Oryzias latipes: one gene and its partners. The protein of the gene in region 3 binds, or shares a complex with, the protein of the main gene of each other region. Links are inferred from orthologs where the notes say so. Each region holds a gene or a part of one and is shown on either strand. Other genes may lie near its edges.

Region 1 (9,584 bases), on a different chromosome or scaffold from region 3:
AAGAAATCAAGCTGGAACTGAAGGTAAATGGGAAACACAGCTGTAACTGTGATACCTGGCTTACTGACTCAAAGACAACAAGTTGTGCAGCTTTGCAAGCAATAAAGTGCCACTAGAACAGCATGTGTGCACAGGTGTGTTACACTATAGTCTTGTGTTATTATGAAACTTGGTCTGCCAAGACCCTAATGAAGGCAGAGTCTTCTAAAATGGATTTAAACAAATTATCATATGTACCAAATTTTTTGGAGGATAAGTCATTTTATTTTATCATTTATTTTAATTTTTTTTTTGCATAGTTTGGCTGGGGGTGCAACCTATACTCAGGAGCAATTTATATATGATTTTTGATTAATAAATATTGGCTCACATATTCTTTATTTTCCCGCTAACAACCTGTTGCCCTTTAGCGTTTGTTTCGCAACCGATAACGTTTGTGATCACATTTTTGGACAACCAATGAGCAGCAAATGTGATGTGTTCGTTGATGAAAATTTGATGTGAAAGCAGCGTTACATTGGGCTTGGCAAATCTTTTTCAATAGCATCACACCTTTCTACCAAAAGTTCAACATATACTCCAGTGTGACTTAATTACTAATACTAATGCATACTCATGCATAATTCTCTTTTATGCATTTTTTCTGGTGCTGCGACTCGTACTCGGGAGCGACGTATAACTTGAAAAAAATGCCATGTAGGATGACATAAAGTTTCACAGTGAGAAATCCCTGCCTCGAATCCTGGCTGGGTCCTTTTTGTGTGGAGTTTGTGTGTTCTCCTGGTGCATGTGTCGGTTTTCTCCGGCCACTTTCTCACACAGTCCAAAAACATGCTTCATAGGTGGAATAGCTAAATGGCTAAAGTGCCACTATGTGTGCATGTGAGTGTGTGTTATTGTGTGGCCCTGTAACAGACTGATGACCTATGTAGGGTGTACCCCCCCCCTTATGCAAGTGTAGCTGGGATAGGCTCCAGCAACCCCAGAATTCAGCAGGTTCTGAAGATGGATGTATGTAAGTAGGATGACATAAAGCCTAAACAATATTTGAATTTAGTGTAAGTTCAGCAAGATAAGACAATTAATGTTTTGGAGTAACTTAATTTATCTCTTTTTTCCTAAATTGTAGTATTTTTGGGGGTGAACAACTTTTAAGACTTATATAAACAAAACAAAAAATCCTCTACTAGAAGGTTTTCCAAATCAGCGACTTTTTCACTACGTGTCAGTTTTTCAAATTACAACTCTAGAATATGATTGAAACATTGATAAATTGTGCATTTGTGTTTAGATAAACAACAATTACAATGTCATCATTGTGTCTTCTCTGCTTTTTCACACAAACAACAGAAACATTTATATTCATCTATCTTGAGAACCCACTGGATCCCGCTGCTGGAGCCAACCCAGCTACTGAACAAGGTGGGGTACACTTTGAACACCTGTCTGTTGCAGGGTCACACAATTACACCTATGGGCAATTTTGAGATGCCAATTAACCTATGAAGGAAGGAAGAAGACCAATGGGTTATGATGGGTTTGTCACATTGAAGCATATTATCATCAAGCAAAGTTGGGCTCAGATTACCTGATGCATTATCCATGTAGCTGACCATTGACACCTCTTTTTGCGAGAGTCCAAAAGAATGTAGGCAAGTCCCACTTTTACTAAAAAACAAAAACAAAAGAAAACATTCACAGTGAATCAAGGGTAAGATCTTGACTTTCATGTTAATTTCATGTCAAGATTTGAATTTCTCATGTACCAGTAAGATTGCCATGTGCTTTGACAAGTAGGACATTTCTCACAGAAGTCTCCATGCCGTTGAGGTTCGTCACACACACACTTTCCACATACACACTTGCCCTGCCCATTGCAGAGTAAACCATTTGAAAAGCAGGTAATTGTGGAGAGGGGACAGCCACAGTCATCACCGCTCCACCCATCCTCGCAGACACACTGTCCCAAAACACACACACCTTGACCTTAAGGACAGATGGAAAAAGGGGGAAATTAGTTTACAGGTGTTAACAATTTTCAAAAGTCTCATTATTACAAACTAGTTTTGATGTATTAGGGTTTTCCCTACCTGCACAGATTAGTCCCCCTTTGTATGGACAGGAGAAGTCATCTATTTCACAATATTTCCCTTGTATAGTCCCAAGTCTAACTTGGTCACACACACAGCTCCCACACACACACATTCCCCGCCCACTGCAGTCCACATCTGCACCGCTCGCTCTACAGCTCCTGCTTGGATCTGTGTTGTCATGCAGAAGATGCTCCTGCTTTGCACCATCTTGAGGCCCTTGACAGGGCAACTGTTCGTCTTCATGGCAATGCCCTGTTGTTCCGCATCGGCAGTGACATTTGGAACGGATCCTAACAACCGTCGACTCGTTGTAACCCACAGGGCGAACGATCACCCTCACGTCTTCATCTTTGCCATCATCAGCACAGGAGTGTTGACCGATGGTGATATTAAAGTAGACCTGCATGACAAAAACAGGGCAGTATTTTTAGCTTCGCATTGACAGAACACTTTCTGGACAGTAAATTCTTTAAAAATTGTGTTTTGGTGTTTTTAACATGTTCTTGTAGTAATTTTCTCAAGATGGAGAACACGCTCAAATTTGCGCTTTGTGTATTTCTTTATTCAAATCATTGTGAATTAAAAAAATGCTGTTTGAAAAAGTTACCCTATATTTTTGTCCTCATCTGGCATATTTAAATTTGGATTTGAGTTGGTAAATTTCTATCGTATGTTGATGGATGCTACATTACTGAAAGTATTTACTTTTTCTGTTCAAACCTTTGTTTGTTTGCAGGAATGACAGTAAATGAATGGCATCTCTTTGCCTGGTTACAACATCGATACCTCAATTTTAAACAGTACATAGGCAAAATCTAAATAGTTCTAAATAGTTGGAGTGACTCAGCATGAATAATTATCCTATTGATGTGGAAAACTGTGCACAACAAGACCTTTTCCTGATATTTATCACCACTGCGGAAAACTTCTTTCCATAATTCAGTTTAATCCATCCAAGGATTAAAGGATTGAGCGTTTGTCTCTCACCACAATGAAACAATTACAGAGCAATGATTTAGTGTCTTGGAGTTTAAGAAGGATCACACAAAGGTTACAGAAAAGAGAATGTCAGCACATTTATGAATGTGAAATAGAGAAACCAAAGCTACAATTCCCAGTGTATTCATATCTAGTGTATCTACATCTACATGTATTTATAGCCAAGTGCTTTTATGTTTTCCTTCAAATTGAAATATTTAATCATGCAGAGCAAATAGTCACAACAAACACTTTTAAAAACCCACTTTAATCCTCATTTGCTCTATTTTAAAGTGTTTCCAGTGGTCTTTTATAAATGATTATCCCATTTTTAGCCCAAATGATCTAGGACATAGTTTCTACAGAGCGGCAGTAGTTCATTAAAAATTTGCCTCTGAGCTGTGGGCTGGACTGTTGGTGCTGAGTAAGCCCGCCTGTACTTCCTGTCATCCATCTGTTTACGTGCTCTCCCACAATCTCACAGCCCCCCCACAACTCAACCTAACATCCGCAGTGAAACAAAAATGGCGAGAAATTTTTGAGAAGTTTAGAGCCAGATTCCAGCTCAGACGAGGGAAAAAAAAGACATACATTGATTTATTTGTCCACAAGTGAATCCATAGCAATGGAGCGGAGCAGAAAGCTTGTGGGCCGCCCAACGTGTTTACTAACAAATAGAACCTTTTACAAACAGCATTGTTTCGTCTGCTCCTGGTTTACAATTGAATAAAGAAATGCAATTTTAAGTTTAATTATGTTTTCTCCATCATGAGAAAAATGCCACAAAAACACAATTTTCCTCCAGGTCGGTCTTTAAGGTTATTTTCGTTATAAATCAAATGTCTCATTTGTTTGGATGGAGAGTCATATTAGGCAAGGCAAAGGTTTGAGGACAAAAAAGATCACGGAATCACATGGAAATGTTTTCCTGTTAAATACAGGCAATAATCCGCTCAACTTGGATTATTTAACAAATCTTCTCTGTCATGAAAGCTTTAGGTAATGTGCTTGTGTAGGTGTGTTCTTGCACGTCCAAACAATCCGAAACGGAGAAAAAAGGCTAAGAAACCTCTCTGTAAGTAAAAGTTCTCTTGATTGAATTTCTACAAACTGATACTCTGTAGGAGTGCTCACCGTCTGGTTTGGCTGCACTCCTGTGCAGCTCCAGCCTTTAGGCGTGGATCCATCGGGACACAGAGGAGACACAGAGACCCAGTATCTGCTGACTGCTTTGTCCTCCACTGACACAGACACCAACACCTCTGACAGCAGCCTCTGAGCGGGACAAAAGAAAGAGGGGGAATTAAATTTTAGCTTTACATGACACTAAAACGTCCAGTTTAATCTGATTTTGAGGTAGACTTAGATTAAATTCTCTAAAAGCAGCTCAATCATCAACATCACTAGAAAGCACTTCCTTTCTTTGTGCCTACTCTTCTTTTACAAATACCAGGGGGTTTATGGGTAAGAGGGGGTGGAGCCAAAAATAGAATCTTTGTCTCCGTCCATGATTAGGACACATGGTTTCCTTGGGGATCTGATACTGCTACAATGGCAGCTTCTGTTTGGACTCTGTTTGTGTGTGTGTGTGTGTGTTTGTGTGCACATATGTGTGTAGATGCATGCCCCAATCTGAGGATTCGGCAGATTCACAAGGCAAACAATGGAGCACTTTGCCGGAGGCAAGATTATAGTCGCAGACTGCTGCCAACTGAACTAACCCAAGGTCTCACGCACACAAAAGCACGCTGAAGCTTACCCCTCCTTAGCCTCTTGTCCTCATCCATGTTTTTCTGTTTGAATTGTTCAAAAACCTCATGTAATGGTTGTTGAACTCTCTGTGATGTAAAAAGTGTGTTGTTGTACCACAAAACGTGCACAGAAATTTAACATATTTGAGTCTAGATGTCTGTTGTTGTAATATTGGGCTAAAAAATTCAATTGAATTCTGGAGCTCTGTCTGCTAATCTGATGGTACTAAAAAGGCTGCAAAAGGAATAAGTAAAAAGAAAAGGTTCAACTGTGTTGCCACAACTGATTGGAGGATTCCTTTTACTAAGGGGAACACAATAGGACAGGGAGAATACCTTATATTCTTACCTTATATGCATCCACCACCAGATCTACCAGGCTTGGTGCTTGACGGAGGCTTAACTTTCCCAAGTAGGAACCAGGAAGTAGGCGCACCAGCTCCTAGAGGAACAAACACATGAATTTAAAGAATAGTAAGCAACTTAGTGGCCTTAAACTAGAGTATCCACCCTGACAGTGGAAGGTTGTGAGTTAAAAATCCATGATTGGTGGGACCCAATGCCTGCCTGCTTGACACTCAGCAAGGAGCTGGATTAAAACACTGCTCCGTCCAGGGGATGGGTCAAATGCAGAACATAATTTCACACATCCAAATGTGTGATATGGAACCCCTACAGGGACATAAACGTAAAAAGAAATAGTACTGGTTTCTCGTGCACCAAAAAGTGTCAAACCAAAGACTTTAGAACTTGTTTTAGGTCACATTCAGAGATGACATAATGGTGACGCTGGACAAGCAAAGCCACGATGTCTTTGTAGGCGAGTCTGAAGGTAAAATAAAAGTTAGTAAGTTCACATAATGTCATTTTCAGATGACTTACTGAAAAGGTCTCCTATATGCAGATGACCATTTATTTTCTGGTGTGCACAGATACTTTCTTGTGCGCAAGAGAAACCAGTACAAATCTTTTTTTACTTCTTACGTCTATGTCTCTTTAGGGGCTCCGTAGCATGACAACTAATGGGACTTTAACTTTAGTTACACTGGAATGTGGATCATCAGGTAAAACTATCTGTTCAAGGGTTGCATCTGAGGGACAGATTACCTCATACCACTGGTACCGCTGTTTATCCACAGCGAAGACAGAGTAGATATGGTTTTCAAGCAGCTTTTCAGACAACTGTCCCAAACTGGGATGATCCTATAAAGGAGAAAACCCAACGATGAGATATGTGTCAATCTACTCTTAATCTTGAAACTACTTCTCACTCCTCACCATCTTTGTGCTTCCTGTGTAAACATTGTTTTCCAAGTGACAAAGGCCATCATGTGGCACAACAATCCCTGCCAGCCGGCTGTCCAGGGCGAGGTGAGAGGGCTGGTCAGTCATTAGGAGCAGCAGACGCTTTGCTTCAGATCGCCAACCAACTGCATCCTTGATAGAAAAGTCACATTTAGGTATGGTGTGTTAGCTCCTAAGTCTTTAGGACAATAAAGCAACAATTTCACAACAGTTTTTCGTTTTAATTTGAATTAGCACACATGTGAATTGCTCCAGATAGAATTTGTGCTTGAACCAACACACTATGTGGACATTTGCTGCAAAGACTCTACTTTTTTTTATGCCATAATCACATGCACTCAGGTTGACCCATGAAACTGCTGTGGGTTTTTGGGGTGCTCGGGCCTGTGGAGGGTTCGACATCTACAAAGGAACGCAGGTGTGTTCTGCAGTTCCCTTGAGTTTTATACGGCCACCTTAAGAGTTGTCATAAAAAGGAAATGTATGACAGTTGTGTGTGTGATAAGCAGATTATAAAGTATTTGTCATACTACGTTCACACCAGGCTCAAAAATGTGCTATCAAGAGACTAAATTCAATCAGAAATCTGTGTTAATGCACGTAAATGCAAATTTTGGGCTTCTACATTCAAAACGTTTCGCATTCACACATCGCTACACACGTCACCACACACGTTTTTGAGTCTAGTTTGGGCCTCTAAGTACAAGACACGAGGCCATTGAATGCACATTGAAAGCTAAACCAGTTGAACTTTGACCAATAATAGTCTCGGGTTTGCTAGTGATGTATGGTCAGCATCCTTTGTTATTTTCTGAAGTGGCAACTGTTTGCAAAGTGATCATGGATGATGAATTAATAATTGCGTTTTGTGTCTTACCGTAATTCTATGGCACCAAGTCTCTCATAAATCGCAATAGAGCAGTGAAAGAAAAAGTCTGGCGCAAGATTCACAACATTTTGCATCAAACCTCTTCCAACTGTAGGGACATATGCTAGTATGCGACAGTCTAGTGTGAACACTGTATGCTAAAAGCGCCTTCAAGAATCTTCCTTTGGCTCATTCTTGAACACACATCACATGCCTGTTGTGTACGTAGCATAGGAATATTGTAAGTTACACGCAATTATGACCTACGAGTAATGCTGTTGTGTGATGCCCTTTTACGTAGCACTTCAGCTGGTGGTAAGGTACTGGCTCCTCCCTGACCGTAAACAAATGCTGCACACACCTATAAGACACCTGTAGGATGCCCGCACAAACTACACTCTAATTTCCTAATATGTAACAGTCAGGCTGCAGGCAAGGAGCGCACACTTACCTGAACAGCCCTAAAGGGCCCTTTGCACAGCACACAGGACTTAAGGGGGTGGAAAAAAGGAAAATCTGTATGACGTGCCTGTGTCTCGGATGCGGACAGTCTGCGTGCCCTGTACATGTACACCGCAGAGAGCCCATATCCATCCATAAGGGCAGTTGTGACGAAGGCCTAACGTGTGTCGTTGGCTAACAAGGTATGTACCTATCTATGTAGTGTGTTATGATTAAAAAAACAACAGTTATATGTAAGTTTTTCCCACTGGATTGCAATATCACACATGTAAATACCCTACAGTAAAAAAATAATGAAATGGCATGACAGGCTGTTTGTCGTTCATCTCAAACTTTTCTTAAAAACTCTCAGTCTAAGTAAAGTGCTGATGATTTTTTTTGGACTTAACATAGGGAGCTTGATAACTAACAGGACCTTTTTCACAGGACTCCATATGCTTCCCATTTTGAAGTTTTATGAGTGCGGTAAAAGAAAAATGCAGTGTCAAACTTTTCAGTCATCGGAATCAGATCTATTGCCGTTATGTTCACATTTTTCTGTAAAGAAGAAACAATTTAAAACAGCTAAAATCCCACGAGCTGACAGTGTCTCCTTTATGTCTTTAACCTCTGCAGAGACCGTGTGAGAAAATAAGAGCAAATGCGTGAGCAATTGAGGAAAGCTTATAAGTAGCTAATGGAGAATCTATTTCTGGCCTTGATGACCACCATGATGTTTCCCTGAAAACTGGTTGCTTCGTGCCCCCTTACATGGCGTGACTCAGCCCCAGTGTAAGCATTTGTGACTGTTTGTGTGCCATACTTCCACACTGATGTCTTCTGCTTAATGCTATTGCAGAGATAACGTTCAATGCTGAGTCAGAGTTCACCCATTGTCCCTGAACAAAAGCCCTTCTCAGTGTCATGCAGACACAACACTGAAGGCCCCATTCACCTGGCAGACAGCAGCTTGCAGCATGGCGTCCAGCCCTCCTTCAGGTGTGTCCATGTTACCAGAGATGCGCTGGCGCTTGATCGTACGCGTGAACTCGCTCATATTCCCAGTCATGCTGAGAACGTGGTGGAAACCGTGGGCCGGGCGACAGCGGATCTCATAATCGCTGGCGAGAAACGCAAAACAGTCTTATGTTTTAAGCTGCAACAGTCAGGAATGCAGAGCTGCTGCACTGCTTTACATGCACATCTCGTATTCATAATGCTGTCCTAGCATCCAAGTTTATGTTGACCACACAAGACCATCTCTACCTTGTCACTTCCTCTTTTTTTTAATACATTAATATTTTTTGTATCTTAAAAACATCTGAGAATTTTTTTTAAATTGTAAAGTGCAAAAAAGATAGAAAATATACTACATGTGTTTTTCATGTATCCAAATAATAAAAGAGGGCTGGACTGTTGTTGCAGAGTAAGCCTGCGCTCATTTTCCATCATTCCTTTGTTTACACTCTCTCCCGCTAGCTTACAGTCCCTCACAGGGTGAGCAATCTTGTAGCTATCCAGCCATACAGTTTAGTTCCTGATTCCAGCTCAGACGAGTAAAATAAAGACGTACATGGATCTATTTGCAATTGGATGCATCAGAATGGAGCGGAGCAGGAAGCTTGTGACCTGATGATTGTAGTTTGTACTTAACAACTACAAGCTTTTTTAAACTGCATTTTTTTATCTGCTCCTGATTTATGATTTGAAGAAAGAAATACTTAGAAATGTAATATTTAGCTTAATTTCCCTTATATATGCCCTCTATCATCAAAACAATATGACAAAAACATGTTAATAACACCAAAAACATAATGTTTATTGGAGTGCGTCTTTAACCAACCTCTTACCTGCAGGGGTTGTTGATCTTAGAAGGGTGTACATTGATGTAAGGTGACACAGGTTTATCCACAAACGAGCCAAAACCCAGCCAAAGGTCTGAGGTGTGCTGCATCATACGAAGAGACAAGGCCACACCCACCGTCTTCAACTACATTACAGATAGGGAGAGATCCAGGATGCACAAGAACACAACAGGAAAGATGAGAAAGAGAGTGTACCTCTTTGGTTCATTCTGAAATTTGTTCTAATAATCATCAGTTACAGATAATTACAGACTGCAGAACTTTGACTTAATACGAAAATGTA
Region 2 (9,584 bases), on a different chromosome or scaffold from region 3:
GTCTTTGACCTTTGCACAAATACAGAACAAAATAATCTTTATTGCAGTGTGATGACTGACATGTTGTTTTTTTGTTAGAATATTTTTCGGCATCAGCTAAAAATGACAGGCCTCGATATTTCAGCCGGAGGCTCAACTGAAACTTGACGGGGCATTGCACACTGAAAGTCCAATATAATTTTTATCCTCTTTTTATTGTTTTTATTAAGTCAATTATTATATGCTAACACATTTTACTTGTTTGTTTAATGTCTGTTATAATCTACTGTGTCTCGTCTGTGCTCCTGTCCTTGGGCGTGGACCTCGCCTTTGGCTCGTCTCACGGCCCCAGCAGACCCCCAACTTCATCTGGATGAAGCCCAACTGCTATACTATTCAAACATGTAGTTGTAGAGTTAGATAAGCTCATTTTTCTTTAACAGTCCTGGTACATCGCCTGTCCGTTCTGGGGGAGGATCCCTCCTTCATGTGGACACCCCTGAGGTTTCTTCTTTTTTTTCTGTAATGGTTTTATAGGAGTTTTTCCTTACCGAGAAGGAGTGTGTAAGGGCAAAGATGCCCAGTTTAGCTTAGTCTGTTTAGTTTAGTTTAGTTTAGTTTAGTTTAGTTTAGTTTAGTTTAGTTTAGTTTAGTTTAGTTTAGTTTAGTTTAGTTTAGTTTAGTTTAGTTTAGTTTAGTTTAGTTTCGTTTCGTTTCGTTTCGTTTAGAATAATCAGCTATTGTATTTTGTAACTTATTTTATGCTTTGTACAATTAGTGAAGCCCGTTGAGACAACTGTGTTGTAATATTGGGCTATATAAATAAAACTGAACTGAATTGATCCGATGTGTGTATGCAGCAATAGACTGCTGGGAATCAAAAAAGTATTTATCTGATTCATTAACTTATAAAGTACTTTTTTTTTTTTGGAAATGCCACGTTTATTATTCAGAATGTGTCTATAAAGATCACTTACATGTTTTTTTTAAATGAATTTTATCCAACAAGATTTTTAAAAATGTTTGTTTCACAGTGAAAATACTCTTTTGTGGATTTGCTAAGTCATAAAAAAAGATCCTAGGTATGTCAAAGACAAACTTTGCTTTATGTGCCTTTTTTGTGCTTTCAAGCAACAGTTCCCTGCCATGTCTCTGAGAAGGATTATTTACAGAATTAGTGGCTGTTTTTAATCCCTAAAATAGACCAAAATTGAACCTACTTTAAAAAAAAAAGAGTCTGTTACATCATTAGTCTGAACAGGATTAAGTCAATTATGAAACTGGTTGATTGAATTTTGAAACATTAAATTAATTTCCCAAAAAAATTGTGTTTTTTAATTAATGTGAAAACCTATTGTTTTTTTGATAAAATCCCAACAGACCTTATGAAGATTTGGTACCTAAATCTTTAGGAGCTGCAGTATGAATCACTTTGCCAGGGCCTATGCTTTTAAAGAACAATTTACTCCAGGTTTGCATGTTAGGCACTCACTTCTGCTGTTGGGCTTTACTCAACTGAATTTATCTTATCTGTCATAGGTTTATGAGGTACTTCACAACATTTTGAACTGCACCCACCAGTCTGAAGGTTGCATTTTCAACAGCAAGCCACAAAAGGCAGAAGCCACTGACCGTCTCTCCAGGTTTGATGTTGGAACAGTATTTCACGTCAGGAAAGGCCGTCCCGTTGGGACAGATAGCTGTGAAGGATATGTGCAGCTCCTCTGTGTCTCCAAGAGCTTCCAGCTCAATCTCAGATCGTAGTTCCTGAAAAACAGACGTCCTTATGAAGAGGAAAGAGGTGCTGAAAAAAAAAACCTTTCCTTTGTTAGACAGCCAACCTCAGAATCCATCAAACGCCTGTTGTTTTTAAAAGTGGGGCTTTCTTTAATGTATGATTACTCTAACCTTGCAGTGACCTATGATCTGTTAACAGCTTGAAACTTCTTGCCTTTTCAGTGAGTCATCAGCCCAGGTGTGATAGGTGATACTGAAGGAGGAGTGACAGTTAACTGCTGCTGGAGAGAAAATGACAAATGGACTCTGTGACGAAGTGTCTAGGAGGCATCAGATGGTTAAGTTCCTCCAGGAATGAACCTGTACAGCGTCCTTTGTGCCGCTGTAGCGGGGAAACATTTACGGTACACGATGTCTAACGAGCAACATTTTGATCCATTGCATATCATAAACTGTAAAGCCTCCAGTTGTGTTGCTTTTGAGCTTCGTATCTACAGACGCATTGGGAAAGGGGACTCCTCTCCAGGTGCGGTTCAAAAGGGGCATAAGTGACGAAGTAATTAGAGGACTGTGCACCTCCACCACCAATCATGGCTCGTGCGGCGGGGGGTTTACAAAACAAGACTGAGAACGGCAGAGAGAAAAAAAGAGGGGCGAGGACATCAAACAGCTGGGGCAAGCAGGAACTTGCTGGTGCGAAAGCACGGCACGGCAGATGAAAAAATGCAATACAACACAAAGCGAAGGATGAACAGCAGGAGAATGGGCAGGAAAAGAAAAGGCTGTTGCCTTTCATTCATCATGACATAATCGTAAAAAAACAACCCTATTTTTTCCCCTTAACTATTAAGTGTTTGTTGGCTAATTTTGCTCTGAATCAGACTTGACCAGCCTCTTTATTTACTTTGTACGCCGACACAATCAGTTCCAGGACATTCCCTGAATCCTTTGCCAGAACTCCGACTGTGGCGCCAGGTATGAGATCTGCATAATTCTAAAAGAAAACAAAGCAAAACAAGCAAACAGAAGAGGCATTGTAACAAATGTAGGTAGTGTTGCCTGTAGTTTCAAAAGCAAAAAAAAAAAAAAGCGGAAAAAAGGCTGGGCTAGTTTGAACAGGTAGAATGAAGTCAGTACATTAAAATGTTACTGTCAGAAAGGATTTAAAATTCATCCTTTTTTTTTAGACCTACAAAACTGGAAAGAGTTGAACTTTTCATTTTACCTTATAGTTGTTTATCTGTTCCTCTGTCACAGCAAATATTAACAGGATGTTGTTTTCCACTACTTTTTCAATCAGCTGACCGAGAGTTGGATACTCCTGGAAAGGTAGGGATACCAAAGAGTAGACATGGAGGATTCAGTTGATTTAAACCTTTTGTAGGATATGCATCTTAGGTTGAAAATACATGCTTTTGAGGGTTGGTTCTGACACACTAAAGCCGCATAAAAGAAAAAAAAAGGCAGATTTGTGTTTCTTATAGTATATGTTTAACATAAAATCACCACAAAACTGGAGCTATAGAGATCTGATCCATTAGCACCCAGATTTTCTGTTGTAACCAATGTGTTTTTTTTAAGTGTTCAAGGGGAGTTGAGAAGCAAACACAAAGTCAGGACTAAATGTGGTCTGGTATCAACTCTGATTTTTTTTTAAAACCCTTCTTCAAGGGTTTATTTTGGAAATTCAACCTAAAGCATCTAAACTACCTGGCTTAAGGTTTACCTGCAATGTAGACATGTAATAATCATTGTTTGCATCCAGGTGACACTGGCCATCATTGGGAATCACAATTCCAGCCATCCTACTATCCATCCCAAAGTGTGAGTCGGCACCACTGACAAAAACCAGCAGACGCATCGAATCATTCCTCCAGCCGATCTTGTCCTGTAGGAGCCACATCAGCTATGACTAATCATAGAATAAAAGTTCATGACACAGAAACTGACTTTTACTAAACGAAGTACTCAAATAATCCGTCCCAATCAGATTTCTGCTCCTACTTACCAGGGAAGTGCTGGACATGACTGAGATATGAGTAAGAATCAGCTGGCAGGTATATGGCTCAAATCTGGAGCAGCTGGCGTTTCTAATCATCTACATTCGCTTTTTCCCCCAAAAAAGTAATTTTAGAAGGAAACTGTCTTACCCCGCAAACTGTTGCTTGCATTATTGCATCAAATCCACCCTCCAACAGATCAAGATTTGCAGACACTTTTTGCTTTGCAATGATCTCGTTGAACTTGTCAGTTCTGCTTGTCAGAGGCAAAACGTGTTTGTAGCCAAACGTTGGCTGGCAAATCATGCTTGTGTGGCTGTAGGGGGGTACAGGGGGTAGAAAAAAAACATGTCAAAATAAAGAAGAAGATAAAAAGAGGAGTTTCTGCCGAGTGATGCGTCACACCTGCAAGGGTTTGCCAGCTGTTTCTCAGTGATCTGGATGAAGGGAAGGACAGGCTTGTCCACAAATGATCCAAAACCCATCCGGAATTTACTGGTAAGTTTGGCCATTTCTTTAGACAGAGTAGAACCCAAGTTCTTGATCATCCCTAGGTCATCAAACATGGATGCAGACAGGTCCATCAGGTAGTAGATGTCCACCGGATAATCTTCAGTGTGCTTTATTTTTACTTGGAAAGTCACCTCACTGCCTGAAGGCAAACAATGCAACCCATTAATTTTGTTTAAAAATGAGGGACGCGGCCTAAGAAAGTCTGTTGACTGCTTACCAGGTCGCAGCTTCAGGGACATTTTTTGTGGGGAGATTTGAGTCTGGTTTCCAGCAGCTGGCTTCTTCTCTAGAGGTCGATCTTGAAGAATTTGGGCTTCGGAAACGGGTAAATAGATGTGGGCTCTGTCGCATCCCTTTTCCAACAAAATATTCAGGGTGTCACATCTTTGTGAGACTGAAAACCAGTCGGTGAAATTCTACAAAACAAAGCAACACATTGAAGGATTTGGCATTGCACTTCCAGTAAAACCGTACAATGTGACCGTCCGCATGTTGGGGTTTCATGCACTTGTTGCTGATTACCTCCTCTGTGCACCAGGCACAGTTAGCACTGAGCTGCAGACAGTCATCACAGGTCACCACACTGCCTTCTGAGCAGGATCCTGCAGTTCACATGAACACAGGAGAGCTGAACTTGTTGACACTAAGCATATTTGTATGGCACTTTGGTATTTTCATTGTTAGAGGATTTTTTCATTGTTTACAGTTGTGGGACCTAATCTTTTGAGATACAAAAACTTTTTTTAATATCCCAAATCAGATGTTGATATTTCAATAAATAGTAGTTTTTGACATAAACACAATAGCCCCAAATATTTAGTATCCGTTAGTGTGTTTGCTCGTCGCTCATGTTTGCGCATGACAGAAGTGTCGCCCTTTCTTTTATTAAACGGAACCAAACCCTCGCTTACCCTCCACGGTGTGGATCCAGTACCGCAGGATCAGGCTCAGCAGTAGAAACCCCATCAGTCCGGCAGGTTACTGGTTGGGAAGAAACATAAGAAGAATGTTTCAAGTTGGCTCAGGAGCTATTTACAGGCGTGAAACCTATCCATGATCCTCCAGAGAGAGCGGAGCGGGACAGCGCAGCACCTGAAGAAGAGGAGGAGGAGGCGAGAGGCTGCTTTTACCTGCGCAGCCTTTGGTTTCACTTCCGTCCAGGTGAGAAAACGAGGCGGGAGCGCGAGCGCACCGCACGCGCGCACTACCTCCTTTTTTTCTTCCAGCCGTAGCAGAAATCTGTCATAAGTAATTTGTCATATACTGTTTTGTGGGCGTGAGAGACATTAACATTTTGTCAAATGGTGAAGATTATGTTCCAACAAAGAGGAAAGGTTCAACTAGACTAAAGACGGTCTGCAGAGGCTCCATTAAAGTTTAGGTTTGACTTAACCATGTGTTCTTGCTTCACATTCATTAATCCCCTTTACTCCGTGATCAAACATGAATGTTGAAACACAGTGAAGTCTGAAGCGGTTTGTTGTTGTTGTTGTCTTAACAACCTGTGTTGGATTTTGTGCTGCTGTTATGGCTCCTTATCTTTTCTAGATCACCTGCATGGCTTTTCCACACTCAGCTACAGGGAGTCATTCAATCTAAATCTGTCTGATTTACAGGAGTGAGTGTTCCTCTGTTACCTCCTTTTATTATGATGCTGTCATAGCCAGTTCCAGGTTTACTTTAGTCCAGCTGCTGGTCTAGGACAAAATATCTGACATTTTATTTTAAAAGAGGCTGTTTTTCTCATCTAAAAAGCTGTAATTAAGGGAATTTTTCATCTTTTGACATTATTATATCACAAAAACTAGTTTCTTTCTTCCTAATTCGAAGGTTTTAGTTAAACCTGTTTTTGGAAGGAAAAAAGTAGTTTAAAATCAAAGCCCCAAGCGGCGTTGTACAGTACAGACCAAAAGTGTGGACACATCTTCCCATTAATTTAATGAGAATGTGTGTCCAAACTTTTGGTCTGTACTGGATGTCTGCAGTAGCTAGCCGCCCTAAGTAGGCAAAGTGAGGATGTGCCCCTCTTTTTTGCCCTTCCCCTTTTTTGCCATACCACCCTGTCAAAGCTTCTTGTGACAAATTCATTAAAAATAACTTTTTTCAAAAGGTGGCTTTTCTGTTGGTTTTATCTCCATAGCAACCATTTTGTTATTTTGGTCATCTGGGTGTGACGAACAGGTCTATGTAATTTTTAGAAGAATCAGCAAAAAGTAGCCATTTTTGGATTACCTTGGCCACAGATGTTTTCTGTTAACCACGCTCCCATTCCTAACATGTTCATATCGTATGTCAGTTTTGTTCAGCTTGAGCCAACGATTCTTGTATTACGTTTACACAATATTCTATGTAAAAGTGCACGCAACAAGCCACTTTTGATCGCAACGCTAACGCCATTCAAAATCTGCTACTTCTAAATTTAGCCTTTTTTGGCGTAGTAGCTTCTGATTGATACTCGGGGGGATTATGAGATGATAGATCAAAATCCCTTGTCGGAGCTTAGATTTGTAGAAGGTACTTAAGGTTTGTGCCTGAATTCCTTCCCTACGCACTATATAGTGTGTTCGCCATTTTGTAGTGCTGTCCGAATCTACAATTCCAAAATCAAGTGCCCTAGAAATTTCCCATAAGTCTCTGCAAAAACCAGTGTGCATCGATGCTCACTAGAGTGATGAATATAAATCACAATGTATCGCGTCTGAACCATTTTTGGCAAAAAAATTTATCTAGATGTATTTTTTAATAAACCATCAACGTTTTTATCTTCGGAAGACAGTAGATTCATAAATGATCATTGCAAAATGACGTCGACGATGTCATATTCACTGTTTAAAATAAAAAAAAAAGTAGTAAGCATGGTGTCTGAATTGCTTTTAAAATTCAGGGCACTACACAGTCCTGCACTATATCGTTTTTTTGTAGTTAGGGGTTAGGGTAGGAATTCGGACATAGCCATAGTGATTTTTTGGGGGAAAATTCAAGATGGTTGCCTCTTCCTGAGGTCAAAGTTCAACGAACGCTTGGTAGTGGCTGCAAAGTTTAGTTGGCGGGATGTGCGTGAAATTTTATGAATATCGCTCAAACAAAATTTTTCTTTTCCCATATTGCGGGAAAATGAGAAAAACAACAACTGCCACAATTTGCCACAAAATGGCTGTCAAGTGACCATCCCAAATTATTTTCAAAACTTCACTTCGTTAGAAAGTCTTTTCACTGGGTGGTACGTGAGTACCAAGGCTGCTGTATCAAAGTGAAACTTAGAGCAGAAATCCTGCTGGTTCACCCAAACCTTTACGTTATGCATGTTATTTAAGCAAAGTGGAGCAAAGTGTCAATGAATCAATTAACTTAATGAACTCTCCTCTTCTGAATCAGAGCAAACTTTCCTAAAATAATAGTAACATTGAAAATATTGTTAATTTCCTCATAACTGTTTGGATCCGTCAGACATTACAGTCTAACGTTTAATCACAGAGTCTTTTGGACAATACCACTAAAATTCAGACAAATCACACCATGAGCAAATACAGTCGCTAAACTCTATTATCCGGACGATATTACTAAAGTTATGTTAATTTTTAACTTCGGCATGAGTCACTATTGCCACCTCCACGCTGTTTTAGCAGCTTGACGATTAACTTCTGGTAAAGACGGGTTTGCAGGCCGGTCACATGATCTGAAACTCAGTGCATGTGTGTTTAAATCAGGAGGTCAGAGGGTCTGGAGCTGCATAGGTACTGAACCATTGACAGCTGCACAGCCAACATCACTGCCAGCCCCAACTCAGAGGAATCTCACTATATAGCCCCAGCCCCCCTTCCCACCCCCACTGAATCAGAGTGAGTCCCATCTGTCACCCCGGACCAAACCCCACCTCTTCTCCTTCCTCTCCTTTCTGCCCCTAAATTTCAACCCCCTCTCCATAACCCACCCACTTCTTCCAGCCTATCTTCTAGATGTCAGCGTTTCATTCATTCTTCCCCTCCGTGTGCCTGTCAGTCCACTTGCACGGCTCCTGCCTTTCTCCTCACATCTCCTCTGCATCCTTTTGTTTTTGCATTTGATCATTTGGTGCTTTAGGCACAAATTAGAAGACACTTTTCCACCTCACAAACTTTCAAACCTGACTTTGGTTTAAAACCGTTGCAGCCGATTTCTGGGGAGTGGAGAGTCTTATTTTGAAAAGCTGAAAATGCTGTGTCAAATTTACCACAACGTGTCTTTTAATTCTGTCCAGATCTGAGGCACTTTGTTACTGTGGAAAAACAGAACTAGTTCTGAGCAAACCAAAACAAATCCATAAATTATTCAGCCAAACGTTCCTCAGCCAACTCACCTTCAGGGCCATCCTCTGATAACATGCTGTCCGGTCTCAGTCTGTCCTCTTTGCCATGAAGGAAAAGTTAGGGAGAAACAGAGAGGCAAGAGGCCGCCGCATTCGCTCCTATTGTCTCTCGACCGCTGTCAGAGTAACAGTAAACCTATTGTAACGGCGCCCTTTAAGAAGCATGGCACAAGGGTGACCCTGCTACCCATGCTTGTTGGATTTTGTGTGTGGGTGTGTGTCTGGGTTTGAAAGTGAGTGAGTGAGTGTGCATGCATGCAGGGGTCATGTGTGGGTGTCTGCACAAGCTCCGGCTTGCTCGTATGTGTGAGCACTGGGAGGCTGCAGTGATAATGAGCGACAGCAACAACTGCCGGCTCTGAGACCTCCACAGGAGCCCCGCTCCTTTATTAAGAGCCGGCCTGACTGATGTGCTGGCATTGCACTCTAGAGGCTGCACCACGACACAAAGGCAGGGGCTTCGTGATGGCTGTGGATCTCGGGTGTGTGGGCTCATGTTTATTCAAGATGACTTGCGGTACTCCCTGCAGCATGGAGGGGCATGGAGGGAGCGCCAGTTCTGTAATACGGCCTCCTTCCTGCAGCGGTATGACAAGAATGCAGGTGTACATGTGCTTATTGGTGAGCGGGACAAAATAATGAAGCACATTCCCACACTTTGCAAGAGGAGAGGAGCAGATCAAACCTGGCCATAGTCCCAGAGGCCTTGAAACGTGCAGCTTCTTTTTATTAGATGCTTGGCACAGGAATGGACTAAAACCCCCACAGGAGCCCAGCTGAGTTGAATGCTTGCAGACACATGCTGACAGGCCCAGGCTGTAGATGTTCAGCTGGTTCAATACACTGGTCAGAACACTCAAACATATGTTAGTCTGCATTTAAAATATAGAAATTAGTAGTAAAGTATTAAAGAAGTATTTGAAAAAGTTTCTGAAAAAGAGATCTTTTAAGCCTAATATTAGTTCAATCAACATGTTGTTCTTAGCAAAAGACAGGATAATTCAAAATAA
Region 3 (10,315 bases):
TGAAAAACATCATTGCTGACTGTGTGATCCTTCTGTTTATTGCTGGAATGAACTTCCTGTTGGGCCTCAGCTTTGTGTTGTGTTAAGCTGAATCCAGGCCGACAAAGACACACAAACACGCCTGATTTGAATACGTCTAAAGTTGTAAAAATGATCATTGGTAGACCAACAGATTGCTAAGCATCCGTGTTAATTTGGTAAATAATTATAAGGTATTTATACCAACACTTAAGTAGGAATAAAATATTGAAAAGTTGGTGTTCACCTTTCTGCACATACTGTCAGGGGTCGCTACCGTGAATCAGCTTTCAATGATCCGCACATTTTGGTTTGGCAGAGAGTTTTATGCTGGATGACCTTCCTGACACAAACCTGTATTTTATCTGGGCTGGGGACCGGCACAGGGAGACCTTGACTCGGGCCCCACTGGATTTAGCTCATGGCGCCCCCTTGGAAAAGAACCCTGGTTTCCCATGTAGCGATAATGTATACAGAGGTATTTTAGTACCCTTCAATTCAGAAAGAAAGAAGCTTGTTAGACATTTGGTCAAAACACAGAAAGCACTGAAACATATTGCTATTACTGTTATTAGAAGTAATTTCATTGTATTAGAAATATTTTAAAAAACACAAAGCATTGTAAAGGAAATTTGTGAGATTGCACTACTTTTTGAAAACACTACAAAAGAGAATGGCATCATGTCCTACTTTTGTTTTCTGTTCTTTGGTGAAGAATATTAATACAACAATAACACAACATTATAGTTACAACAATGACATTTTATTCTTAATATGAATTTTTTCTCCTCTTTGTTTTTCCCTCAGCAAAACATCCGCCTAAGCCCATCCCCTTCCTTACATACTGCTCACTCTCACTACAACTTCATCTCCTCCTTCACTTCATCCATGAACCTCCTCGTTAGCCTCCTGCTCAGAAGATCAAACCAATATTGAATCCTTTACATTTGTGCCAATACTTGCTTAAATTAAATCTTTTTAATACTATTTAATAACACATTTTATTTATAAGGCGCCTTTCAACCAGCTTGATGGCTTAGTTGGCTACATGCAGGACTGGTTTATGGGAAACCAGGGTTTTATTTTCCAGGGGGCATGATGAGTTTATTCCATTGTGGGTCCTTGAGTAAGACCCAACACGTTTCTGCCTAACTATGTAGCCACAAGGGGCTACACAGGGGGCCCAAGTTCGGGCCTCCATGTGCCAGCTGGTCCCCTGCCGAAAAATAAAGGGCTCTGTCAGAAAGGGCATCTGGTGTAAAACTGCGGATTTGTACAGGTTTATATCATTTGCCGTGGCGAACCCTGATGAGATATGCTAAAAGTAAACAACATTTACAAGGCGCCTGTAAAAAACTCTCAGGGCCTGGTGTTCTCCTGGCTTCAGGGCTCTGGCTGCTTGGGGGAGGGGGGGATCGGGGGTGCGCACTTGGCTAGCATTGAGGCGGGGGTTCATGGGTCTGTGCATTCTGGGCACAGGGTGGGCGGTGGCTGCCAGCCGGGAACGTTCCTGGACAGGTGTGGCCGCTGAGGCTTGGCCTGGGAGGGATCTTAGGATTTTCGGGCCTGGGGCTTGGCTGCCCTCAGCCGGTGTTTTGCCCGTGGCCGATTCCTTGGCGCTTGGCCTGGCCCCTGGGGTCAACGATGCATCAACAGCAGAGGGGTGAAGGGGTTAATTTATTGCACTTTCGGGGTTCCTCTGGGCAAAGGGCTTTAAAAAGGGCTTTTTACTTAATTTAATTACTTTACCTTTATTTTTTATTTGTATTTATTTCCTTTTTCTTTTCTTTTCTTCATGATTATTATTATTTTATTAATGTATTTATTTATTTTCTCCTTCTTTTCCAGCCAGCCGCCCACTGCGGCTGGCAGTGACCGGCCCCCCAGCCGCCCACTGCGGCTGGCTGGGGGGCCTTCTTCCCCCGGTTGTGCCCATCCGCCTCCTCCTTTCCGCTCCCACCGAACAAATTTTGCACACATGCACAGAGGGCTCCGGGAATTGGACGGGTGGGATATGCTGGTGGGGCTGACCGGGAGTTACTCTCTTTGGGGCCTCATCGGCACTCGCCCTCCATTCCACTTTTACTCGCATATTTTAGGGATCGGAGAGGGGCGGCCTGGTCCCCCTGGGCGGCCGGGCGTGTGGGGACCCTGTTAGCCGAAGCAGTGGCCAGGCGTGCGGTGCTAGGGGGTCGGTGGGCTGGAGTGGGTTACTGAGCAGCCACGGGGGGCAACCAGAAGAATGTGTGTGTGTGTGTGTGAGAGTGCATGGGTGGGGACAGGCCTGGGGGCTCACCCTCCCTTTTCCAGAGTGGGAAGGGCAGCGGGGGGATAAGGGAGGAGTGCTGTAGAGGGTAATGTGGGGGGAGGTAGGGGTGGAGCTGTGGTTGCATCATAATCTTTGGGCTGCTTGGGTCAGGCTCCAGCTGGGTGGTGGGCGGCTCCTGGGCCCACGTCTCGATGTCCAGCGCCCAGTGGCCCGAATGGCTGCCGCCCGGTATGTCGGAGCACGCCTGTCCTGTGGCCTGTGGGTCCTGACACTGGGCTCGCCTATACTTCCCGGTGCCGGAGGAGCCCCTGTAGGGGGCCTTCCTCTGCACCTGGCTGGGTAGGTGGGCAGTACCACCCCCCCCCCCCACACACACACACACACACACAATCGGGTTGCGTGGGTCCCGTTGCTGCGGACGCTCCTAGTGCAGGGTCTCCCCCATTTACACCTTGTCTATCCGAAGATTCGTAACCCCCTTTTGTAATAGTAAAACCTGTCCAACACAAAAGGCCTTCAGCGCTCATCTTTTTGCTCAGTTGTTGGACAGAACAAGTTAGAAAAATAATAATAAGAAAAAAACTCTCAGGGTAGGTATAAAGTAAATTTTATCTTATTTTGTATTAAATCTTACATAAAGTTATGTAAAATCTAACTTTATTGTTTTAAAACACTAATAAGTTGTGGCAAAGTTATTTTTTTAAGTAAATTTCCAATTTTATATTTAATAGATACATGGACAACACAAGAGTACTGGTAAAACGGGATTAAAACAGAGCTTTGAATTTTGCTCCACTAACTTGAAGTGATCCTCATAATGTAAAAATGTTTTCTTAAATTATCCCAATTAGTGAAGAATTTTATTTAATTATTCACCAAATAAGTAAATTATTTCTGAGATCAATTATAATATATCTGCATTACTGTAATGTTATATTAGGTACTCTGCTAATACTTTTTTGTAACGCGTTCCTTCCATCACAGTTCATGACTGTTAAAGTCCCACTCTGCTCTTTTTTTAAAGTGTTCCCAGTGGTCTTTTAATAATGATTATAGAGTTATTAGCCAAAATTAAAAAACCTGTGTCATTTTCTGGAAAATGGTTTCTGCAGAGCAGCAGGAGTTCATCAGAAATTTGTCTCTGAGTTGTGGGCGGGACTTATAGAGTTAGCCCGTTTCTACTTCCCGACATCCATCTGTTTACACTCTGTCCTGCTGGCTTACAACCAGCCTCTCACACCCCCCCAGCCTAATATTACCTGTTCCACAAATACATATTATATGTTTAATATTCTTTATATCATGTCCTCCATCATCGGAAAAATACAACAATAACATGTTAAAAAAACACGATTCACTGGAGTGGGTCTTTAAGTTCTCTCTTTGTTCACTGACCATGTATCTAAAATCAAAGTTTACGTCAGCATGGGGAGCTTTTGATTTGAAAGGGACGGGCCGGAAGTCATTGAGCAGATCCCCCCCCCCCCCCCCTTGGTAAATTAGCCTGATTTTAGCTCGCTCTGACTGTCACACATTTATCCGTGAACAGGAGCTGTGCAGCGGTGGCCTCTCCGTGGAATCCCGCTGTTCTGTAGGCTACAGAAGCCCGACCGGATCAAAGCTTGGTTCGGCCGTGTCGCTGGGTGTGTAAAAGTCGGTCCCTCCTGGACGAGCCGACAACACAATCAGTGTCTGTTTTACATGAAGACTTGTTCGGCGGTTGCGAGGCAGAGCTCTCGGGTGGACGGCTGAGATTTTCCAGGCTGTTTTGAAGTGACGCCGTTTGATGTTTTCAAGGCACCGGAAGTTGAGTTTGCGCACACGGTGAGTGGCAGCATCTCCTCCGCCTGAGTGAGTGGTCCTCGGTGAAGCCGCGGAGGTCTTCAGCAGCAGCAGCAGCCATGGCGGGGGGACGCACCGCTGTCGCCGTTCTGGTTCTGGCGTGTTTACGCTTCCATCACAGCAGCTCCTTCAACCTGGACGTGGACAAACCCTCCGTGTACGAAGGATCCGAACGAAGCTACTTCGGCTTCTCGGTGGACTTCTTCAAGTAAGGGTTAAGAAGAACATGCGAAACATGACGGGATTAAGATAAAGTCTAGGAATTTTCGAAAGGCGTCTGACATTTAAGCACGCGGGAATTACTAATTTACTCAAATCATTTGACTTAACATTAATTTTCAAAAAAAGAAAATTTAAGAGTAAAAAGTAATCAGTTGTAAAAACTACAGAAGCAACTAAAATTAAACATAAAATAAGTATACCTTCTTCTAATTAATTGTAATGCATTTACAAGGCAAAATAACAGAGCATTTAAAAATAAAATAAATCGAAATAAAAGTAACATTCTTTTGTTTGCAGTGTTTCTCACAACATCCAGTCAATAATTTTCTGAAATGTGAAATCAAGAAAATGGAGATTAGAAGCTATGTAATACAGTAAGTAGTGTTTCCTAATAATTATTCTGCCTGAGGTAGATAAAAAATAAAAGAGGTGGCAACCAGGTATGGCCTCCTCACTGAAACAACCTTTAGCGTTTCTGAAGAGGACATTTATACTCTGTTTTCCTGTCTGTAACATGTTTGTTACAAACAAAAAAACAAAAATCTGAAAACTGGGAGTTCTTGGATAACTATAGGAATCAGATCTGCCACGTCTATAAGCTCTTCATCAATTTGACCCTATTTTAAACACCTCTTTAAAGACCCACCCCAATGCAAAGAAAATAGTGTTTTTTTACATGTTCTTGTGGCATTTTTTTCATGATGGATATATATAAAGAAAATTATTTAAGCTCAAAATTGCAGTTCTTGGGAATCAGGAGCAGACGACAAAATACAGGTTGAATACAGTTGTATTTGTGACGTAAAAAACACACCAGCTTCCTGCTCTGCTCCATTCTGATGCATCCACTTGCAGACAAAAAGACCCATGTACGTCTTTGTTTTCCTCGTCTGAGGTGGAATTTGGATCTAAACTGTACATATGGATAGCCGCAATATTCCTTACCATTTTTGTTGCACTGCTAATATTAGGTTGGGGTTGTGAGGGGCTATAAACTAGCAGGAAGAGTGTAAATAAAGGGATGATGGGAAACTTACTCTGCCCCAATGGTCCCACCCACAAGTCAGAGGTAAATTGCTGATGAACTACTGCTATTCAGTGGATGTGTAGTCATAAACGAAACAATTTTTAAAAAATGTTTTTACTATAAATCTGTAAAACAATTCAGACGTTTCTGTTACCCTTAATGAAGAAAAAATAAATTTTAAGTAAATGGTTAAACATCTGACTTTTTTTCCTGCCAAATTGCTTTTAAAAAAACATTTTCAAACATAAAAGACAGAAAGGAAACAGATTGATGTGTTTACATGTAGAAAGAAATCAGTAGATGTGCTATAAATCTCAATGTAATAACCTGACTGTCACAAGATAGCTGCCATTTGTCAATATCTTGATCTGATCAATAGGGACCAGACACTGATCAGATACTGGGTGTGTAAAATGGTTCAGTCCCAATGGAAATGACCCAGTTTGCTGCTCTTTTACAGAATCACCTTTATAAGTTGTTGTTTCTCTATCATATCTTAAACCAGCGCAAACAGTACCTATTAGCATTTCAAAGAAACAAATAATAAAAGTTATTCAAAATGGTGTTTTTTCACTTTGTCCTCATCTTCCTAATATTTCAATTACTGTGTACTCCAGCCATTGAATGCATCAGCAAACCCTTTTTATACTTGTTGGAATTCACTCCATCTGGTGCAGTTGGAGAAGTTAAATGCCTCACATGCAGGTTATCTTTGCTCAAATGATTAATGTATACTCTGGCTTAAGTATTTCAAACCCAAGCATTTGTTTGTTACAGATTTAATGTTAACTACACAGATTTATTTTCAGTACTATTGTAATATAATGTTTATGAAATACCAGTTAAAGTAGGACCCACCTTAGTATTAAGTCTGCTGACTCGGTTTCATTCAGAACATTCTGAGGTATAGTGTATGTTTTAATTGAATGATGTCATAAAGTGTGGCAAACAAGTATTTATCAGTCACTGATTATGCAAGTGTTCTCACTAAGAGGAGTTTGGTCTGTAGTGTTCATCATTAAAACCTTTCAGCTGTGAGACAGAATATAAGATAGAAACCAGGAAATTACATTGCTTGATTTATAAGGGAGTTATCTGAGAAATGGTGCAAAAAATAAATATTCAACTTCAAACAAACATACAAGACTTCAGTTCCTCACAGACCTGTTACTACTTCTACAAGAAGTTCTTCTATTCCCCACTGGTTACCTGCATTAATGTCACCAGTTTGAACTATTATTTGCATAAAAGACATGTGTCCACACTCTTAAACAGCCAGACTGCAACCTCTCCACAATGATCAAGACGAAAGAGCTGTCAAAGGATACCAGGGACAAGATTGTAGAGTGGAACAAGACTTGGATGAACCAAACTATAATAAACAAACAGCTTTGAAAGACAAGATCAACTGTTGGAGCAATTATTAGAAAAAGTAAGAAATACTAGATCACTGACAATCTCCCTCCACCTGACACTCCATGAAAGATTTCACCTGGTGAGGTACAAAGGATTTTGAGAAGGATGAGGAAAGAACCCAGAACTACATGAGGGAACTGGTTAATGACCGGAAGAGAGCTGGGAACAAAGTTCACTAAAGTAATACACTACGGCGTCATGGATTGAAATCTTGTAGAGCTCCAGAGGTTCCCCAGAACATGTCCAGAACCATTCAAAGTTCTCCAGAGAGTATCTGGATGATCTAGACAAGGATTGTGAGATTGTCGTGGTCAGATGAGACCAAATGGAACTCACTGTGTTTGGAGGAGAAAGAGTGCTGAATCCCAAAAGTGCCATACCCCACTGTAAAGCATGGGGGTGGAAGCATCATGGTTTCAGGCTGCTTTTCTGCAAAGGACACTGGATGACTGATCTGCTCCATTACACAAATAAATCCTTTAAAAATAAAACATTTTTTAAACTTTGTCTCTCACACTTAAGGAAACTCATCTGTTGAAGTGGATCATCTTACAGATTTGTTGAATGTCAAATACTTTCAGCTCTTTTTTCGTTTTCATTGGGTGCATCTTAACATTAGTTTTTCTTGCTTGTTTGTACTCTATTTTGGCTTAGACTTTTAACAAAAGTGAAGAATCTGATCTTTCTCATGTTTTCTGGTTGAAATCTTGGTGGAACACAACCTTCTGCTTCACTGTGGATTATTCATGTGGGTGACTCATTTAGTCACATAGTCTGGAGTCTTTGGAACATTGTGACAGTCTGGTCTTAAGTTTTCCTGCTTGCTTTCCCTCAGAATCTGTCTGAGGAGACAGTTTGACATATCTTAGTTCACACACACTTCCTGAAGATGGTTTTCAGAAATTTAAAGGCTGTGTCATCATAAATTAAAAAAAGTGACTTGTAAGGTCATCTAAGTCTTATTTTTTCCTTTGTGCTATCTAGTTGGGTCCAGATGACCTCGTCCTTACATTCCATGACGAAGGTGTTATAGGATTTCATGTCTGCCATGGACACCAGTGAAAATCAAAAATCATTGGGGAAAAAAAGTTCAGCCTGCTGTTTTGTGGGTTCTAGATGACCCCACTCCCACGAATAGCTGCCTTGGATAGCACAAGGTTGTTGTCATCACTAAAACAGAAAAACTTGGAGTTAAAGTTATTGCTTTGCAAGTAAATCAAATATTTAAGGTCAAAAATGACAAGTTGATTATTTGTTGTTGGATTTTCTACCATAAAAATTGTTACCTCAGTCAAGAGGAAGTGATTAAGAAATGGATTACAGTGAGATGGCAAGAAGATAATCCAGAATCTTTCAATATTTTTGGTAGTTTTTATTTGCAGTTGAGCTGCCAAAGCTCAGGTTTTAGAGGATTAGATGAAGATGAGCTACTGCTGCTATGTTCCCTGAATGACTAAACAACTTGTTGTTTTCACGCTGCTATCCAAAACTGAAGTGACACGTCAGTCCATAAACAGCATTTGTCCATCCCAGCCCCGTGAAGCAGCAGTCTGAAAGAATCATCAAACACAAATACAGAAATGTTCTTTTGTATTTTGTAATCCATTGAGTGGTTACCTCTGGATAATCTGCAACAAAAGCAAGCTGCCGCAAACAAAGACGCTTTGTTTGAAAACTCCTCCTGCTGCACAACTGGAAGCTGCTCCAGCTTGCATCAAAATGAAAAACCAGAGGAGCTCTATCACACCTCTGGTTTGTTTTGTTTGAACCATTTAGCTGAATGGAGATTTTTTTTCTCGAAAGTTCAGACTCTGTTTTCCATCACTACTATTCAAGTTGAATTCACAAAAACGAGCTCTCTGGTGGTTTGACGTCATGTAGCCACTCTGGATTAGGTACTATGGAGCACAGAAATTCTTCAGCGCTCAGACTGATTTGGATTCTCTTAAACATGGAATTCTGAGGTTTATTTGTGATATCTGTCAGACTAATGTGGTCTGTTTAGAGATAAACAATCTTCATTAACTCCAGATGTTGTGGGTTCAGATAAAGTTCAGATAACTTGTCTTTTTATCTAGTGCATGGAAGTCCTGAATGTGTGTATATTTGGTCTTGCTGCCTCTCTGTGACCTTTTTGTGGAATCTAATGCCTGGTCTGTCTGTCCAGGTCAGACGTTCTCGTCGGAGCTCCTCGGGCAAACACCTCGTCCTCCAGCAGCGTGGTGGAGAGAGGAGCGGTATTCAGCTGCCCCTGGAACAGCAAAGACTGCAAGGAGGTGCCCTTTGACAGCTCAGGTACCAGAACTTTCTGCTCATGCTTGGTGTTCTGGTGGAGCATTAAAGTAGGAGTTACACTCTGGGTGACCATAAACTACTTTCTGCTGTTGCAGGAAGTAGTTTATGGTGGATGGAAGTGTGTAGCTTTGGGACAGTTTGAGGATAAGTGATGTTGTGGAGCAAAATACGCTTTTTTAGCCAACTTATCTTCAGACTGGTGCAGACAGTTTGAAAGATCTTCATCTTTCATTCAGCATAGTGGCTAATTCAGAGAACAATATGAAGGATTTTATCCTGGAAAAATACAAGGTGTGATTTCTATCTTTTATCATCTGTCTGGGCGTGTTCCTGACTCACTTTCCTATCGGCTACAGTTTTGTCAAAGTGCTGCTCTTGTCAAAAGTTTCATCACCCCAGATCATGTAAGAATAAGCAGCAATTTCACCTCATGAGTAAATGCTTTTCAGTTTTTGTCGAAAAAGATGCCTGTAAACCTGATTTCAGAGTTTAGATCCTGAAAGGTGGAAAAGGCAGAAAAAGGGGGAAGGAGAGAAGCAGCTGTTGATGCAATGCAAAATGTTCCTCCAGGCCAACTTCACCCAGTGCAGCAATCCCCATCATTATGAAGGGAATGCTCAGACATGCCCAAAAGGTGCAGGCTTTAGTTCTGTTGAAACTGGTGCAGGTCTCCTCTGTGGTTTACTTCATCATGCCAGTTGGAGTTTCAAACAAAAAAGGTTTGAGAAGATACTTCATAAAAACAAAGTTCTAGTTTTCCAAATCCTAGGTTTGTGGGTTTTGACTCCTCTCATATGTTTTGGAAATAAAAAAATACTAAAAGATGTTAGTTCTCTTTGTCGCAAAGTAAAGTGACAAAAATGGACCAAACAGAAGACAAAGAGCCTCAGAAACGGTCAGTGGAAGGAGGTCTGGTTCAGAGGAAGTGGTGGAGCTGACCAGGCTCAAATGAAATAGTTAATGCGCCCCTATCATGTGACGTCATGAATGCCCAGCAGCATGTAGAAGTGTTTCTGTCGTTGTCAGGTGTTGGACTTTCGTCTTTTTAGAACAGCACTGGAGCGTTCCAAGCAGACGGGGAGCGTGTTGGCAAAGAGGGTGCAGTGCGTTTTTGTGTGAAGTGGATTCTGTTTGGTATTCTGTGGGAGGCCTCAACCACCAAACACGGTCTCCCTTCCCCCTTCAGCTGCACAACAAGCTCAATAAAGTTCACGCAGTGACACGTA

Evidence for each region.
Region 1: the proteins of itgav (region 3) and itgb8 are in contact, whole or in part, in a cryo-EM structure (PDB 8TCF), measured with the Homo sapiens proteins. The link is inferred for Oryzias latipes from reciprocal best matches to the Homo sapiens genes ITGAV and ITGB8. Residues at the interface, in NP_002201.2 of Homo sapiens: Tyr48, Phe51, Trp123, Leu141, His143, Gln150, Glu151, Arg152, Pro154, Phe184, Gln186, Phe189, Pro204, Trp209, Asp249, Tyr251, Tyr254, Arg275, Arg278, Thr279, Gln301, Met302, Ala303, Tyr305, Phe308, Pro328, Leu329, Met331, Ser335, Asp336; in NP_002205.1 of Homo sapiens: Ser197, Pro198, Ile202, His203, Pro204, Arg206, Ile250, Asp251, Thr252, Pro253, Thr287, Ser288, His289, Leu290, Ala291, Leu292, Asp293, Lys295, Leu296, Gly298, Val300, Pro302, Glu321, Ser324, Leu325, Gly326, Gln327, Glu330, His349, Trp350.
Region 2: the proteins of itgav (region 3) and itgb6 are in contact, whole or in part, in a crystal structure (PDB 9CZA), measured with the Homo sapiens proteins. The link is inferred for Oryzias latipes from reciprocal best matches to the Homo sapiens genes ITGAV and ITGB6. Residues at the interface, in NP_002201.2 of Homo sapiens: Tyr48, Phe51, Lys72, Trp123, Leu141, His143, Gln150, Glu151, Arg152, Pro154, Asp178, Ala179, Phe184, Gln186, Phe189, Pro204, Tyr208, Trp209, Asp249, Tyr251, Tyr254, Pro274, Arg275, Arg278, Thr279, Met302, Ala303, Tyr305, Phe308, Pro328; in NP_000879.2 of Homo sapiens: Ser183, Pro184, Phe185, Lys187, Thr188, Thr189, Pro190, Ile236, Asp237, Thr238, Pro239, Asp273, Ser274, His275, Phe276, Gly277, Met278, Asp279, Lys281, Leu282, Ala283, Gly284, Val286, Pro288, Glu308, Thr311, Ile312, Gly313, Gln314, Ile316.

The regions. Positions count from the first base shown.
Region 1 is NC_019869.2:9,732,846-9,742,429, forward strand, and holds part of itgb8 (integrin beta-8), read right to left. Parts: intron 9,427-9,584; coding exon 9,287-9,426; intron 8,558-9,286; coding exon 8,392-8,557; intron 6,260-8,391; coding exon 6,101-6,259; intron 6,026-6,100; coding exon 5,930-6,025; intron 5,265-5,929; coding exon 5,172-5,264; intron 4,347-5,171; coding exon 4,206-4,346; intron 2,494-4,205; coding exon 2,091-2,493; intron 1,987-2,090; coding exon 1,767-1,986; intron 1,669-1,766; coding exon 1,589-1,668; intron 1-1,588. UniProt on the Homo sapiens protein: Integrin alpha-V:beta-8 (ITGAV:ITGB8) is a receptor for fibronectin. It recognizes the sequence R-G-D in its ligands.
Region 2 is NC_019861.2:14,539,316-14,548,899, reverse strand, and holds the start of itgb6 (integrin beta-6), read right to left. Parts: upstream 8,785-9,584; 5' UTR 8,566-8,784; intron 5,211-8,565; 5' UTR 5,196-5,210; coding exon 5,141-5,195; intron 4,832-5,140; coding exon 4,752-4,831; intron 4,646-4,751; coding exon 4,447-4,645; intron 4,369-4,446; coding exon 4,122-4,368; intron 4,033-4,121; coding exon 3,867-4,032; intron 3,605-3,866; coding exon 3,443-3,604; intron 3,038-3,442; coding exon 2,942-3,037; intron 2,711-2,941; coding exon 2,621-2,710; intron 1,747-2,620; coding exon 1,612-1,746; intron 1-1,611. UniProt on the Homo sapiens protein: Integrin alpha-V:beta-6 (ITGAV:ITGB6) is a receptor for fibronectin and cytotactin. It recognizes the sequence R-G-D in its ligands. Internalization of integrin alpha-V/beta-6 via clathrin-mediated endocytosis promotes carcinoma cell invasion.
Region 3 is NC_019879.2:14,011,629-14,021,943, forward strand, and holds the start of itgav (integrin alpha-V), read left to right. Parts: upstream 1-3,777; 5' UTR 3,778-3,930; intron 3,931-4,084; 5' UTR 4,085-4,188; coding exon 4,189-4,337; intron 4,338-8,961; coding exon 8,962-9,089; intron 9,090-10,315.